Oryctolagus cuniculus: one gene and its partners. The protein of the gene in region 1 interacts with the protein of each later gene in a pairwise test. Links are inferred from orthologs where the notes say so. Each region holds a gene or a part of one and is shown in the gene's direction. Other genes may lie near its edges.

Evidence for each region.
Region 2: the proteins of CDK4 (region 1) and CDKN2B interact in binary tests that used the Homo sapiens proteins (3 or more experiments, as listed by UniProt). The link is inferred for Oryctolagus cuniculus from reciprocal best matches to the Homo sapiens genes CDK4 and CDKN2B.
Region 3: the proteins of CDK4 (region 1) and CCND2 interact in binary tests that used the Homo sapiens proteins (3 or more experiments, as listed by UniProt). The link is inferred for Oryctolagus cuniculus from reciprocal best matches to the Homo sapiens genes CDK4 and CCND2.

What each region holds. Positions count from the first base shown.
Region 1 is NC_091442.1:60,320,565-60,326,935, reverse strand, and holds CDK4 (cyclin-dependent kinase 4), read left to right. Parts: upstream 1-2,427; 5' UTR 2,428-2,432; coding exon 2,433-2,680; intron 2,681-3,134; coding exon 3,135-3,371; intron 3,372-3,524; coding exon 3,525-3,660; intron 3,661-3,777; coding exon 3,778-3,945; intron 3,946-4,102; coding exon 4,103-4,212; intron 4,213-4,451; coding exon 4,452-4,502; intron 4,503-4,639; coding exon 4,640-4,775; intron 4,776-5,010; coding exon 5,011-5,103; 3' UTR 5,104-5,381; downstream 5,382-6,371. Other genes in the region: TSPAN31 (tetraspanin-31), read right to left, coding at 5,932-6,006, 6,102-6,215.
Region 2 is NC_091432.1:185,072,567-185,076,988, reverse strand, and holds the end of CDKN2B (cyclin-dependent kinase 4 inhibitor B), read left to right. Parts: intron 1-1,235; coding exon 1,236-1,496; 3' UTR 1,497-2,854; downstream 2,855-4,422. UniProt on the Homo sapiens protein: Interacts strongly with CDK4 and CDK6. Potent inhibitor. Potential effector of TGF-beta induced cell cycle arrest.
Region 3 is NC_091440.1:105,136,339-105,142,070, reverse strand, and holds part of CCND2 (G1/S-specific cyclin-D2), read left to right. Parts: intron 1-3,669; coding exon 3,670-3,819; 3' UTR 3,820-5,732. UniProt on the Homo sapiens protein: Regulatory component of the cyclin D2-CDK4 (DC) complex that phosphorylates and inhibits members of the retinoblastoma (RB) protein family including RB1 and regulates the cell-cycle during G(1)/S transition.

The sequences.
Region 1 (6,371 bases):
CCGCGGCTGCGCATCCCCGCCCTGCCCCGCACGAGCAGGTGTCCCTAGGGGCGGGGGCGAGTATGCCGGCCCCGCGAGGGTGGAGGGAGGGGAGTGGCCAGGGAAGGGGAGTGTGTGCCGGGGTCGGAGAATAGGTGTGTGTGTGTGTGTGTGTGTGTGTATAGGATGGATGATGAGTGCCTAGGGGATGCAGGTGTACCAAGAGCCGTGTGCAAAGAGCTGCCCGGGGGTCCGAGGTGAGTGGCCAAAGGCATGGGCGCAGGCAGTAAACACTTGCACACAAAAGGCTGGCAAGTGTGCTTGGTGTGAGCCGGTGTGGTGCTGTGCAAGAGAGGCGAGTCTATCAGGAGTGGAAGCTGACAGAACTGCCTGTGAGAAGCAGTTGGATGGTGATGTGTGAGGGGGTGAGTGAGCCAGGGAGGTGGGAGTGCTAAAGGGATGGGAGTCTCTTCTTGCCTGCTAGTCTCCTGCCCTCACCCCTACTACCGGGAAGCTCTCCCGGTTAGCCCTTTGTTTTTGTGGGAGCCTTGGCCCTGCGAATCAATCCACACGTGTTTTTTCTGCCTTGCACTTATGTCCTTTCTCCATCTCCTCCCCTTTGCAAAGCTGAGGGAAAAGGGATTTCAGGGGAGCCCACTGGGTCAAACACACTGGGAGAGGATTAATTAGTCAAAGAGTAATTAACAGGAGAAGGGAGGGGATGGAGCCAGGGACAGACCGCCAAATTAAGACTCCCCAATAGGAAGTGCTAGACAGTCGTGATCTTGGGAAGAATTCAAATGTTTTGGATGGACAAATGGATGAACCAGGAAAAGGTGCTGGGACCCAAGTGCCCATACAGGAAAGATGGCTGTGTTCGCAGCCCAGTGACCCGCAGAGGGCTTCCGTGGAAGATGGAGGCGAAGTGAGGACTGCTGATGGGCAAGAGAGCTCGACAAACTCCCACTTAGCCCAGGCTCTGGAAGGCTCACAGACCAACCAGCCCCTGCTTGGTAGCCATTGAAACCTTCACCTCTCCAGCCTCTTCGTTCGGATCTTGAAGTTTTCCTTACTGGTGTCCCAGCTGCCCTTGTAGCCAGGGCCCAAGCGTCGCAAGTATCCGAAGTGGAATGGGCACTGACATACTTCCATCTTGCCCTGACTCATGTGAACTCATCTTCAGGTCGGAACTCTTACATGACCACCAGAGTTGAGAACAGAACTTAGGGTGCAAGGAGTGGCAAATAGGGTAATAAAATGCTTACAGATTTTAGACAATTTCTCACAGACAAGATGCTCAATCTCTTTACTCCCATGTCCTCAAAGAGCTGGGAGATAAAGAAGTTGGAGCCAATAAGATAAGAAATCTACCTGTGTCTAGGTGTCTGTAGGCAGAGGCTATTTGGGAAAGGCTGTGTTCAGGGCGGTGATGAGCGCTAAGAAGGTGGTGTCTGGGGAAAAGAAAGCACAAGGCCCCCGAGTGAGTTACAAGGTTGGCAGGAGGCCAGAAGTCAATCTCGTGTATAGCAGTGGCCTGGGATGTTGGTGATGGTTATGGTGATCCCTCTACCTATTCATCTGAGGACAAAGGACACACATATCACATAGCACACACACACACACACACACACGCATCCACATATCACAGATTTGTAAACTCAACGCTGAAAAGAACCTTCAAGATCAAAGCCGATATTCCTGCCTCCTGCTCATCAATAACTTCTCTGCCTGACAGCACCCAGTCTATTGTAACACTCCCAGAGAGGGCTGGAAGCAGCCCGGACCGGGAAGAGAGGCAAGCACTACCTTGCCACAATTCCTGTTGGATTACTCTATTAACCTGCCTTCCACCCCTCTTCTAATTCCAGTCTGCCCTCAGATGGGCATTGTCTACTCCCTATAGGACCACATTTTATATACAGCCTTACCACTACTCCTAAGAGCCAGTGACGCAGACACCAAAACAAAACCCCACACACACACTGCAAGCAAGCGCTCAATGCAATTTTGTTGAATGAATGAGTGAAACAAAGACACAAATCCGATTGTTTTCCCACGGCCGCGGAGCCGTAAGGTGACAGCCCCACCTGCCACCGCCGACGCCCCTGCCCCCACCTCCCGCCAGCGTGGAGAGGCTGCGAGGCCAGCAGCCGGCCAGGAGCTCGGGTGCTCTGCCCTCAGCGTGGAGTCGGGAGCCGGGTGGCCCAGGTTGCCATGGCACCGCCTCGGACTCCACCCTCTCCCGTTCCCCCTCTCCCACCCCACCTCCCTGGCGCTGAGGTTATGGCAGCCAGTCACGTGCCCCGCCGCGTAACCACACCTCTGCTCCTCAGAGCAATGTCAAGCGGTCACGTGTGATAGCAACAGGTCACGTGGCTGGCATCCCCCCTCCGCCCCCTTTCCCCTCAGGGCCCCCCTCCCCGTCCAAGCCCAGCTCGGCCGCCCCTCTGCGCATGGGTGGCGGTCACGTGTCCCGAACGTCCGGCGCCCGCCCCGCCCTCCCAGTTTCCGCGCGCCTCTTTGGCAGCTGGTCACATGGTGAGGGTGGGGGTGAGGGGGCCTCTCTAGCCTGCGGCCTATGTCTATGGTCGGGCCCGGAGCGTCCAGGTGCCCAGGACCGAGCTCGGGTGTATGGCGCTGGAGGAACCAGCTCCGGGGCCCCGATAACGGGCCGCCCCTGCACCTCCCAGCCTGGAGTGAGGTAAGTGCAGCCCCTGCCCCCACTGGGGGCCAGTCCCGCCGCCGCCCCCTCCCCCCACAGCCGCTTCCCATGCGTGCGCTTCGCAGGCGATTTATGGGAGGGTCGCCCGCGGGCGAGAAGTGGGGCTTTTGTGGACGTGGGAAGGTGTAATTTCGGGGACCGGGGTGCGGGATCCTCGGCGCCAGGCGTGTGTATGTGTGTGATCTCCTTTGTGCTGGATGCGATGTTCCCAAAGGAAAGGGGGCTTTTACAAAGTGTGCGGCCTCACGTGGCTGGAGGGGTCGCTGTTGGAGTCATTGTTACCTGAGGCGCGGCGCGGCGGGCGGTCGCGGAGGGCGCGGGGTGCAGGTGGGGCCGTCTGTGCCATCCGTGTCGGAATCACTTTGTCCGCTGCCAGCTCAGGCCATCCCAGCTCTGGGAGAGCATGTGGTGCAGGGAATCTCTGTGTTCCTAGGGTCAACCCTGATCTGAGAATGGCTACCTCTCGCTACGAGCCTGTAGCTGAAATTGGTGTCGGTGCCTACGGGACGGTGTACAAGGCCCGGGACCCCCACAGTGGCCACTTTGTGGCCCTCAAGAGCGTGCGAGTCCCCAATGGAGGAGGCGCTGGAGGGGGCCTTCCCATCAGCACTGTTCGCGAGGTGGCTTTACTCAGGCGGCTGGAGGCCTTTGAGCACCCCAATGTTGTCCGGTGAGAGGAAGGTGCAGGGCCCGGAGTGGGCAGTCCAGGCAGGGGGGCTGTGGTGGTCAGGAGAGAGGTGGGGATCCTGGGGAGGTACACGATGAGGAGGCCATAGGGGAGTCAGAGGATCCTAGCTAGCGAGGGACCATTTGTTCTGGCCAGGCTGATGGACGTCTGTGCCACCTCCCGAACCGACCGGGAAATCAAGGTGACCCTGGTGTTTGAGCACGTCGACCAAGACCTAAGGACGTATCTGGACAAGGCACCCCCACCAGGCCTGCCGGCAGAGACCATCAAGGTAAAGGGCGGGGGCGGACACGGGGAGGTGGGTTGGGACCTTCTAGCAGAAGCCCTGGGCATTTCAGGCCTAATGCCTGGTTTCTTGTGTGTCTGTTTTTTTTCCCTTGCAAATCAGGATCTGATGCGCCAGTTTCTTAGAGGCCTGGATTTCCTTCATGCCAATTGCATCGTCCACCGAGACCTGAAGCCAGAGAATATTCTGGTGACGAGCAGCGGGACGGTCAAGCTGGCTGACTTCGGCCTGGCTAGAATCTACAGCTACCAGATGGCGCTTACACCTGTGGTCAGTAGAAAGATGTGGTAGCCAAAAATGGGCTCTGGTTGGGGGTAGGAGAAGGATTGCCCATAGCAGCTGAGAAATCATACTTTGTCCTTCCATCAGGCACTGGTGCTTCCCGGAAGCCCTGGGGGCCCTCACCTACTCTCGCTGTTTCCCTTAGGTTGTGACGCTCTGGTACCGTGCTCCTGAGGTTCTTCTGCAGTCTACATATGCCACGCCTGTGGACATGTGGAGCGCTGGCTGTATCTTTGCAGAAATGTTTCGTCGAAAGTATGGGACCCAAGTTCCCTGCACAACCTGAGTCCCCCGCCTTGTGCAGGAGCCACATGCATGCCTTGGCCATTTTTGTACTTGGGTGCTGTTCACCATCTTGCCCGTAACCAGCTCTGAGACGGAATCAGAGACTTCACATGCCTTTATTCCCCACACCCTCTAAGTCCCACTAAGCAGGACTCATGCCACCGCTGTCTCTGAAAGTGACTGCCACCTTGTATTCCTTCTCGCTCTAGGCCTCTCTTCTGTGGAAACTCCGAAGCCGACCAGCTGGGCAAAATCTTTGAGTAAGTGACCAGCCAGGGGGCAGAGAATTTTCCATTCTGAGTCCTCTCTCTGCTGAACTCGGAGTTAACCCACTGGCTCTGCCTGGGGACGGGAGCTGGAGAAGGACCCCTGTGACAGAGCTTTCGTGTCTCCCTAGCCTGATCGGGCTGCCTCCGGAAGACGACTGGCCCCGAGATGTGTCGCTCCCCCGAGCGGCCTTCTCCCCAAGAGGGCCCCGCCCAGTGCAGTCGGTGGTGCCGGAGCTGGAGGAGTCCGGAGCGCAGCTGCTGCTGGTACGTGCGGGCGTGGGGCGTGGGTATGGGGCGAGACTGGGCTGAGAGACGGCAGTATGTCCGGCCCCAGCCCGTGGTGGTTGAGGAGCAGTTCTTATTGCTGTTGGGAGTGGCCAGGTGCAGAGAGGGATACACAACATAGAGAATCCATCCCCAGGTCGTGTTGGGGACAGTCAGGGGAGGGAGAGAAGTCTTTGTGCTCCACGGTTTTCTGACCTTGGCCTCTACCCCCTAGGAAATGCTGACTTTCAGCCCACACAAGCGGATCTCTGCCTGCAGAGCCCTGCAGCACTCTTACCTCCACAAGGAAGAAGGCGGCCCAGAGTGAGCCGTGGACACCGCCAGCCACGCCCTTCTTCTGGACACTAGGGTGGCGAGAACCCCACAGAGAAAACCGCTCTGCCTCGTCTCTGCGGCCGGGCAGACTCCGACTTTTTACAGAGAATATTTTGCTACCTTGATGACATTCCCTTCCCACCCCTCCTTTCGAGGCCTATCTTCCTGCCCCCTGTTTCTCTACACTAAGGGGTATGCCCCGTCTTTCCCCCTTTCCTACCTTGATACTGGGGTCCTTTTTTATACAGGAAAACAAATAAGACAAAGAAATAAGGTCTTTTTTTTTTTTAATGTTTCTTTCTCTGATTGGCTTTGTCACTGGGAGATCTGGAGAAACCATGTGGAAGAAGGGACTTCCCTTAGCCCCTTAAAGAGTGTCCTGAAGTTAGACCCAGGGCCTGGGCAGCCACACAGAGCCCCTGCACTCACAAACGTGGAATTGAAATGGCTTTTATTTTTATATTCACTGAAATGGCTCAAACTGGGTCCTGTTTAGGCGTTCTTGGTGGTTTTCTCCTTGGCTCTGCCCCTGATTGACCTCCAGAGCCCAGCATGTGGGAAGGTGAAGAGGGGAAACAGCCCCGCCCCATGCACTCCCTGGAGCTGCCTGCATCCACTTGGGCAGACAGAAAGCTTTCTTTCTAGCCTGCAGTCTGGCTGCACCCAAGTCTGTCAAGCCCTGAAGCCTCACTGTTGAGTTGTTCTCAGGGGATGTAGCAAAGGGCCCTTCCTTTTTCTCAAACAAAAAGGGGCAGCAGACCCTGGATTTTCCCTAAGGGAAAAAGAAAACGCAGGAGAGCAGGCAGAAGGGGCCAGAGTCTCACAGGAAGGCACTGGGGTTGGCGCGCGGATCCTTCTGATTCCGGAATCTCATCGCTAGCCAGACACCAAGGATCTGTAGGGACAAGAGGAGCCACGAAGGCACGGTTCAGTTCTGAGAGGGTCAGACCTGCAGAGAAGGGGTGTACTTGAGGGAACGGGAGACTGTACCTCAGTAAAGCTGAAGAAGAGTCCCACGCCCCCCAGAATTTTCAGGGCTTCATCTGAATGCCTAAGGAGCTTCTCTCCACACATGGGGCATGCGGAGCTCCTGTTCTTGCAGATCTGAGGAGAAGGCGTGTGTTTGGAGAATGCAGAGACGCTGAGCTGCCTTCTCCAAATGTCTGGGGTGGCCACCCCTAGGAATTACTAGAATCTGACCAGTATCCTACAGCCTAGAAGCCCATTTAGCTAAATCTCCCCTCCCCCACCAGCAGTGCC
Region 2 (4,422 bases), on another chromosome or scaffold:
GAAGATTTGAAAGAAGCAAAGATATTGTAAAGTGATTCTTAAAGACTTAAAATGATATTAATAGTTATAAAAGCAAGTTTTCTAATTTGTGTTTTTAATTTACCATTTACTGAGACACTAAGAACCACTCCCTCCCCTTCTCTCTATATAAAATACTTTGTACATCATTTGTAAGAATGATTTATGTTTATCATAGTTTCTGAGGAAAAAAATAAAAGTTTTTATATTCTTGAAACAAGACTAAAGGTGTACTGCCTTTCAATTGTATTAACATTTTGAAGCACATAAATTCACAAGAGCAAATAAGTTTTTTGGCAGTTATCAAAAATTGTTTATTGTTAACAAAAATATGAAAGCAAATGCTTACATAATGCACATATATATACAGATGAATGAATGCTATAGGCTTATTCCTCTGAAACATTTTTAGTTATGCATCATTTCTGATTTCACTGATAATGTACAAACTATACAGCAAAACATTTACTATCTAATGTAAAATCATGTAGGAGGTAAATATGTATGTTAATTTTACAGTTATATTTATATTACACTCTAAATTTTAGTCTGCCTCTATAACATTAACTTAAAAGGTGAAAAGCTGTGAACCATTAATTCAAGATAAGTCATTTGTTTTCGTCGTTTTATAGAGTATGCCTGACTTGTTTTACTTTGTCCTCTAATCTCCAAGTTTGTCTCGGATTATCAGATTACATTTGGTTTATGAGCAGACACATGTGACAGAAAAAACAGGAGCCTCTTACAAGAGAATTACGTTGTTTCTTATTTTCTCCCCTAAAACATTACTCCAACCTCCCCCCCACACACACACACAAAACAGGTGACTACCTAACAAATATTTTTAAACCTAGATTATGGTGCATGGGCAACAAGGAGAATAAAACTTTATAAGGCATTCAAGTTTAATTCTGCTCATAAATCACTTAACCAGCTAGATTCTCATGTTGCAGTAGAAATCGATCATTGATTTTGCCCTCAGTGTAGATATTATTATTTTGCCGCGTGCTCTCACGTCTGGAGAGTAAGATGGAATTTAATTTAATCTGAATAAGACTGGGAGGAGGTGGGTGACCTGCGTAGCATAAGAGGAGGAAGCCGACCCCTGGGGCTGGTCGCACCCTTGCTTTTGATCCAGGTGTAAGTGCGTGTCTCCTGGCAGCGGCCTAGCCGCCCCGCCGGCACCCTCGCCCTGACCGCTCTTCCCTCTCGCGCAGGTCATGATGATGGGCAGCGCCCGCGTGGCCGAGCTGCTGCTGCTCCACGGCGCCGAGCCCAACTGCGCCGACCCCGCCACCCTCAGCCGACCGGTGCACGACGCCGCCCGGGAGGGCTTCTTGGACACGCTGGTGGCGCTGCACCGGGCCGGGGCGCGGCTGGACGTGCGCGACGCCGGGGGCCGCCTGCCCGTGGACCTGGCTGAGGAGCGGGGCCACCGCGACGTCGCTCGGTACCTGCGCGCCGCCGCGGGGGACTGAGGGCGGCGGCGGGCGGCCGCCCACGACCAAGGGTTCTCCCTCGCCAGTCCCCCATCCCTTCCCGCTTTCAAAGAGGGCTGCAAACGTGGAGCGGCACTAAGCCCGCGAACTTTCCGGAGCGGCTCAAGCCCCAGGAGGAGGAGGAGATCAAACGCGTTTGTAAACTCTGGATCCGACCCTCGGCACTCACCTGGAAGCCAGACGCGGACAGCTGGCGCAGGTGGGCTTCCTGCCCGATTTAGGAGCTGGTGACGCTGCAGGGGTCGTCTGCTTTGCGGGACTCTCTGCCGGAAAGTGCACGTGACTTCCTGGAGCGACCCCAGGAGCCTGGAGTTCTCCACACAGCTGATCCTGGGGGCTGGAGGAAGGGGGCAGCATTTGGCGATTCGGAGGGGGCGGATGTCCCGCAGGCCCCCACTGACCTCGGTGGAGCTCCAGCTTCGGACGTCAGGGCCTGGAGGCTGCAGAACGCGGGCCACACAGGGGTCGAGGTTGGCTTCACGAAGTGCCCAGCCTACCTTGGGTGATGCGGTGCAAGGCGCGCCACCAGCAGAGCAAAATTCTCTCCAAGTCCAGATAAAGGACGGGAGCGACAGCAGACTAGCCCCCAAATTCTGAAACCCCTGGCTCGGCTCCCCACGACGCAGAGGAGCGAGTTTTTGAAAAGGTGCTGGCTCCTGCGCTTCGCCCGTGGAGGGCGGGACTCTCATGGCGTTCCGAGGCAGAGCACAGCAAACCGCGGGCCGACCGCAGTGAGCGTTAACTGCAGCGGGTGCTGTAACGACTTGCTGCTTCCGCGTTTCTCAGCCTACAGACTTCCCTGTGAATCGCCTCTTGGAAAGGTTCCGTGATGTTTTCCACTTTTGCATTGTTCTTCTGTAACTGCCTCATTTAATGCGGATACTTTAAAGAACATGTCGGCGGAGGTGAGGAAGAACTCCAACTCTAAAATGAAGTTATGGCAGCATGTCAAACTCCCGGTGCTACTGCTTAGATTGCTTTCATTCTTAACCTATTTATTTCCTTGTGAAAATGTTGATCGTTTCCTTTATTCCTTTATGAAGAGTGTCTCAGGGGGTCAAACTATGAACTATTCCAAAGGTCTTTGAGAGATAGATGTCCTTGTCCAGGAAATTATCTTGGAATATTTCCCAAAAGGTTGTTGAAAAAGTAGATGGTGTCTAAAACTGCTGAAATGTTCTGTTGGTAGCTCCTGGGGTTTCTTAATATCTGCTGAACAAACTAATGGTGCACTCCCTTGAGATTTCATTGCCATTGTTCCTTGGCTCGCTATAGCATTGGAACAATGGTTAATTCACTGTTTTAATAAAGAATAAACAACAGAGATTGAACTCAAAGATATGAGTGATTTGACTAAGAAATGTGTTTACATGGATTTGCCACTACTGAGAATGTACAAAGACCTGAGGAGCTCACTTCTCTCACCCTTTGTAATCATTATTGGTAAGTGATTCCAACAGTAATTTATAAAAACTGGCTACACATACCTCGGAAAGTTAAATGTAAGATTTATGCATGTCTTATGCTTCTAAATGTCCAGCATACTATATGTACATATAAAGAGAGAAAAGGAAACAACAAACTAATTTGAGAGTAGATTTATAAAAAGGATTACCTTTGAGCTGAATACAAAAATCTTTACTTCCCCATCAATTACTCATTACCCCAAACTGATATATTATTGGGACAAGTTAGTTGAACGAAGACCAGACTATGTCTTACTGGGGGAAAGATGTTTATTAACATATAATTTATACTAAGCATGCTTCAAAATACACTTCTCCATGTAACAGTTAAACCTGTGAGATAGGTATTGTTTCCCAGATGAGGACAAAAAGGCAGAGAAATACCCAACAACTTGCCAGAGGTAACAGAATACTCATTCCTGGATATGCAAAGTTAGACTCTCTGGTTCCCAAGATGTGGAGTTCATTTAGTAAACAGTAGAAGGTATTTGTGAGGTGTTCTGTTTTGTGGGCAAAAATCATTTTTCTGGAGGCTGGCAAGTCCAGAGGCTACATCTATTGGGGACCTCGCTGGAGGATCCTAACATGGGGGAAGGCATCAGAGGGCCAGGATGCAGAGAGACAATCTCCAGGCCTCAAGCCTTTTCACAGCTGGTGCCAGGTTCAAGAGGGTGGAGCCCTCATGACCTAAACACCTCCCATCGGGCCCCAGCTCCCAATGCTGTTGCACTGGGGACTGTTTCCAACATATACTTTTCGGGCAGCACATTTAAAACACAGCAGTGGCCCTTCTCATATATACACTAGCCTACATCTAGCCAATTCTAATGTGTTTTGAGGCCTCCTGAGCATGCTATAGTCTTCCCCCATGCCCTGGCTGAAAGTTTTCTCTTGGTCCCTTTACTCCCACATGATTACATGATCGGGAGGGTCATCTTTTCTGTATATTGCTCAAGCAATACATTTTCAAGAAAATCTTTCAATAACCTGAGCATTTGTTGACTGAATAACTAACCTAAATTACATACTGACAGTAATCTAAGTACCCCTCCTCTATGATTCCCTACATGTTCCTCCAGCATATAAGGATGGCTGATTGTCTTTCTTTCCTGTGATACTGTAAACTCATCCATGGCCAAAACTAAATTTTGCTGGTTTTGTAGCACCTGTGCCTAACACAGTGTCTGGGACACAGACTTAATAGATATAAAAATAACCATAAAAAGAAACATTTCACATTATTATTTGGCTTCAAAGGAAAAAAATGATATAAATATCCATGGTTACTTATAGAAGATCAAGTTTAAAGAGAGAATGATAAATTACTTATATGCAAAGGCTAATTTGCCTCTGTTTCTTTGAGATACTGTTTTCATCAAAGAATTATTTTTTAAAAAATTATAAAAGTCACATTAGAAATGTAAAGTGGTTTATTTCTG
Region 3 (5,732 bases), on another chromosome or scaffold:
GGTACACATTTTTGTCTGGAACTTGAGAAAGGTTGTGGAGAAGTAGAATTGAGATAAGTTTATTTTGGTGCAGAAAAAATTTTTTAAGCTCATGCGTGGTGTTTTGGTAACACGCATCTTCCATGACCTGGTGAAGAGCCCTTGTGAACTTGATTTTGTGCTTGTCTTGAGGCCCATGGCTCTGAAAGTCCAGTAGAAGTGACTGTCCAGTGTCCAGTGTCCTGGTCCTCCATGTAGGATTTTCTCAAGACTGTTCCTCTGAGGCAGGGGCCATTTGGAGATTTAGAACATCATTTTTGGGCCGTACTAAATTATCGACTTACAAATTGGCCTGGGGTAGGTTATTGAATTTCAAACCCTGCCTGTAGTTGCCTTAGCAGAACCAGACCAGACGATTTTGTGGGCCTGGATGACCCCCAGCCTGGATGTTCCCTGCCCCTGCTCCAAGGTCTCAGGTGGCCAGAGGAGAGGCAGAGGCCACCCCCTCCCCAAGACTAGGAACATGGGTGACCCAAACAGAGGAGTCGACAGTGCCTGAAGTCAAGTTCTCTAGCTTTCTGGAGCCTTGTGTTCCCCTGTGGAGGAGCAGCTCTGTGGCGGATACTGGTGTGTTTGTGCACTGATGGCCATGGGTCCTAGGTTGGTCCTAGCACCTTAGTATCATAGATTCCCATGGCACAGGGCCTGAGAGGAGAAGACAGCCAGCAGGATGTGCAAGTAGGCCCCTGTGTCTTGTTGGGCAGCAGGGTCTTCCACACCAACTGTGTCTTAGGACGTATTCACCAAGAGGTTATACCATCGGAGGCCCACTTTTTTTTTTTTTTTTTTTATTTGACAGGTAGTTATACATAGTGAGAGAGAGAGACTGAGAGAAAGGTCTTCTGAGTAAAGGCGTACACTCCCCAAATGGCCGCTATGGCCGGCGCTGCACCGATCTGAAGGCGGGAGCCAGGTGCTTCCTCCTGGTCTCCCATATGAGTGCAGGGCCCAAGGACTTGGGCCATCCTCCACTGCCTTCCTGGGCCACAGCAGAGAGCTGGACTGGAAGAAGAGCAACCGGGACTAGAACCCGGTGCCCATATGGGATTCCGGTGCCACAGGCGGAGGATTGACCAAGTGAGCCACGGCACTGGCCCAAGGCCCGCTTTTAAATTAAATTTTTAAAATTTATTTAACTTCTTTGAAAGGCAGAGACGCAGAGATCTCCCAGTGCTGGTTCACTCCAAATTCCCACAACTGCCGGGGATGGGCCTGACCAAAACCAGGGGTCAGGAGCTCCGTGCAGATGTCCCATGAGGGTGGCGGAGACCCAAGTTCTATGGCCACCCTCTGCTGCCTTCTAGGATACGTATTAGCAAGAGGCTGGGATTGGCAGTGGAGCCAGGACTGGAACTCAAGATGCAAGCGTCCCAAACAGCATCTGTACGGCTGCACCCAGCCTCTCCCCACGAGGCCCCCTTTGAACCCTCCTCCTCCTGACCCTTGATGGGCAGTTCTTTTTGAACTGAACCGTGCAGAGCCATCATCTGTTCCACTCCACCCCCGACACACACACACACAGTCTCTCCATCAGCTGAGAAGCCTGCTGTTTTCTCTAGGGAGCGAAAGCTTCCAGGCTGCTCTGATGCAGGATGCTGGCGTCCCAAGTGGCAACCGAACCCACAGCACCAAGACACCTGCCCAGCCTTAAGGTTTTGAAATCTTGTCTACTGAAACGCTAGCGCCCCTAGAAAGGACACCTTCTGCTTTTCCCACTGAGCCAGTGATGAGCTGTGTGCCCAGCCGCGCCTGTGGGGTGGGCCTTGGAGGCAGGTGGGGAACAGCCACGCCCGGGGGTGGGCGAGACCCTGCACGTGTCTGACCACCTGTGACGGGCAGCGCTCAGCAGGCTAGAGTCTGGGCAGATGGCAGCGGTCTGAGAGGTTGACTTCCTCTTCGCTCTGTCCAGGGTGGTATGAGACCTCGACCGCTGGGCTGGGTCTGTCTAGTTCCTGTCCCCAGCACCAGACACACAGCGCTCCTCCCTCCACCCTTCGGGGGTCAGTGCTACTCCCTATGTCTTTTGAAAGAGATCTAAAGAATTCTTTCACATTCCAGGGAGTGACTAGTTAGCACGCTGTGCTCTCTCAGTTGTTCTTTATTTGTTTCATTATCGTTTTAAAAACGGGGAAACTGAGATCAGACGTTAAAGAACGGAGCTGCTGCCCACAAAGACGGTGCATGAGCGCACACACCACCTCCATCTTTCCATCATCTTGGCACTCCAGGGACATTCGTAGTCTGCCGTCGCTCGTCATCTTAATTTTCCTTAAAAGCAGTCGGAAGGGAACGGCGATGATGCTTTTGTGCTTGGCAAAGTGGTAACCTGTCGGTGGTGAAAATGAGGAAGGGCTTCTTGCTGTGGGAAAGCACTGGGAGATTCCGTTTCCGAATTCCCCATCCACATGTGCTGCCTGAGCAGGTGCAGAGAGGCAGCTTTGCAGAGCAGAGGGGCTGGGAGAGGGAGGGCTCCTCAGCTTGCCTCCCGCTGCCTGGTGTGAGCTGTGGTCCTTCCCGGTGACAGCCGTGACAGCGGGTGCATTCCATGCCACCCAGCTGCGAGACACTTCTGCCTGAGGCAGGCACACTCCACAGTTTCCCTACCAAATATAGACTAATAAAAGCAATGCTGCAGCTTCTTCCTTATTCCCCAGTTGGACAGCCCAGGCGTCCAGAATGTTTGGTAAACATTCTGTATTGTATTTTTATGAGAAGTACAGGAATGGTAAATAGGCAGACCGTCGGGATTTTTGTTTGTGTTTTGTTTCTAAGCACCAGGGTATGTGAGGGTCAGCATGGTCTCCTTCTCTGTCTTCTTTCTCATGGGTGCTCCAGGTGCTGGGAAAGTCAGGCACTACAAAAAGTTCATGGGAACATGGAATTCAAGCCTAAGTTTATCTTGGGGCAAAGAGATTCTAGGATCCGTATGTACATAGTTTCATCGTTCATATGTTCCATGAGCTTTTTCAGGACTCCCTTGTATGTGTGGATTTGCAGATTTTTTGCCCCAGGTAAACTTACCTTTTAGTACCATTTTTCTCAGGGACGTTTTGAGGTTCGCTTTACTGTAGCTCTGCTGGTGGCCTCTCTGTTGACTGCCACCTCCCAGCAGCACAGGCTGGATCCAGTTGGCCCCTTGATCACGGCCATAAATGGAGCAGCTGTGACAGGCTCCCAGGTGACGCTGAGGCTGCCAGCCAGGGGCTGCCCTGGGGGCCCCTCTCCATCACTTCACATTGAGTGGGTATTTCACCTGGAAAACAGTCGTGGAACCGTGGGGGTGTGCATTTGGCACAGCCGCTAGGACGCTCACGTTCCAAGTCGGAGTGTGGGGTTTGAGTCCTGACTGTACGTCCACTTCTAGCTTCCTGCACCCTGGGATGCAGCAGGTGATGTGGCTCAAGTACTTGGGCCCCTACCCCCCACGCGGGAGACCCAGACTGAGTTCCAGGCTCCTGGCTGCAGCCTGGCCCAGCCCCAGCTGCCGGAAGCATTTGGGGAGTGAACCAGTGGGTGGGAGATGGATCTCTCTCCCTCTTGCTCTGCTTTTTAAAGAAGTAAGCCCAAGCCCGACGCTCTGTGTCCTGATCTTCTCACTGACGGCTCTGGTCTGGCCCGCTGTCTTTCTAGGATTGTCTCAAAGCCTGCCAGGAGCAGATCGAGGCCGTGCTGCTCAACAGCCTGCAGCAGTTCCGTCAGGAGCAGCGCGACGGATCCAAGTCGGAGGATGAACTGGACCAAGCCAGCACCCCTACAGACGTGCGGGACATCGACCTGTGAGGATGCCAGGCGGGCCGAGCGAGAGAGGCGTGTCGTCATCTGCACTCTCCTCTCTGGTTATGTTTTGTTCTTTGTGTTTTAGGATGAAACTTAAAAAAAAAATCTGCCCCCACGTAGATCATATTTAAAGATCTGTTAGAAGTGAGAGAAAAAGGTCCTATCCAAACAATAATTAAAAGCGTGTGGTGCCTATTCAAAGTACAACATAAGGGAATCCCCTGTATATGCGAACAGTTGTTGTTTGATTATGTTAAAAGTGATAGTAAAATGCTTACCGGAAACCCTGCAGAGTAGCTAGACAATATGTACGCCTGCAATATGGGAACCAATTAGAAGAGACTCTTTGTCATGTTATGAACTAGTGCATACACACCCCTTTTTGTAGTGGCATTTCAAGGAACTGTGTAGGCCATTTATGGAATGATTAGATTGCCAAGCAATGAACTCAACAAGGAATTCGAAATAAGGAGGGGGGGCATGATGGGGAGGGAGTACCAAAAAAAACTTGCTGTGATTGAACCACGTTGGATGGAGAAGTGCCTCCAGTCTCCACCAGCTGTGGCAGCACGTGGCTGGTTGGACAGGGGGTGCTGGGTGGTAACCCCACCTCTCTTGCCACACTCGGCACTTCTCCTTCCACACGTGGCTCATCCCAGACTCCGCCGTATCATCTGGGAGAGAAATGCAGCTATCGGGCCCTAACCAAAACTCTTTGGGACATGGAAACAGAGGGTGGGATCTGGAATGGGATCTTTTCTCCTGCTGTTTGAGAGAGGGTACAGCGACCGTGGCATCCCGTATTAGGAAAAAACTGATCTTTTGGTGCTGATTGGCATGTCTGGTCCACAGTTGAGCATTGTTATAAACCATTCCATTCTTAAAGCACTTTGAAAATTTGTTCCCGAGGGGTAGATGGGATGGTTTATGCAAATCAAGCTGACTCCTCCCCTCTTCTCTCTGGCCCCTCCCCATCCTGCCCCCAGTCTTGAGTTCTCCGGTACCCACCCTTTCCGCTGGCATTCCCATCACGACATTCCTCGGAAAAGTCTGAACAAAGCCCTGTTAGCACGTGGATGGCGCGGAGGGCTCCTCCGCAGCTCCAGCTTCTCTCGACGGGGAGGGCAGGCGTCCTCGCGGACGGCTGGACCTCGGGTGTGGCGTGCGGCTCCCTTAGTTTCACTGCAAAGTCGTATTCAGCGTACTTGAATTTTCTGTTTCCTCTCCACTTCTTCGAGGCATTCAGTTAGCAGAGAGGTTGGAGCGACAACTTTTTTTTTTTTTTTTGCACAATTGTCATTGACAGGTAATGAAGCTATTTGTTACAATATTTGCTTTTTTTAAGTAAAAAAAAAAATCAGAACAGGGCTACCTTGAAGAATTATTTTATACACAGATTCTGCCTTGTTTCGTAGTGTGAGGGTTGAAGATGGAGAAAAATCTAAGGGTCTCTTATTTTCATTTTATTTTGTTCAGTTTTTTATTATTTTTTTTGCGCTGCTAAGAAGCTGAGATCGTTCATCCTTACTCACATTAACAGTACCTAGCTGTAATGTTTCACCAAGTGTGCTGCTATTTTATAAACATTTTTATAATATATTATTTTACTGCTTAAGTTCCAAGTCCTGAAGTAGATGGTTAAGATATGAGTTCTTCGTACTGGAAAAGCCCTCCCATCCTTTGTTCCTTCCGGTAGCATATTCATGGTTAGTGGGTTTTGTTTCTTTCTTTCTTTTTTTTTTTTTTTTCCTCTGATCACATTCTTCAAAGACAGTGCATTCTTTACCTCAGGTTTACTGGACAAAATCAATAACTACAAAAGACAACGACTTTCTTACCTCACAGCCGAACACTTTCTGCTTTGGGAGCAAGTCCCCAGGAGGGCGAGGCGAGGTCGGGTGGGGAGGAGGACTCGC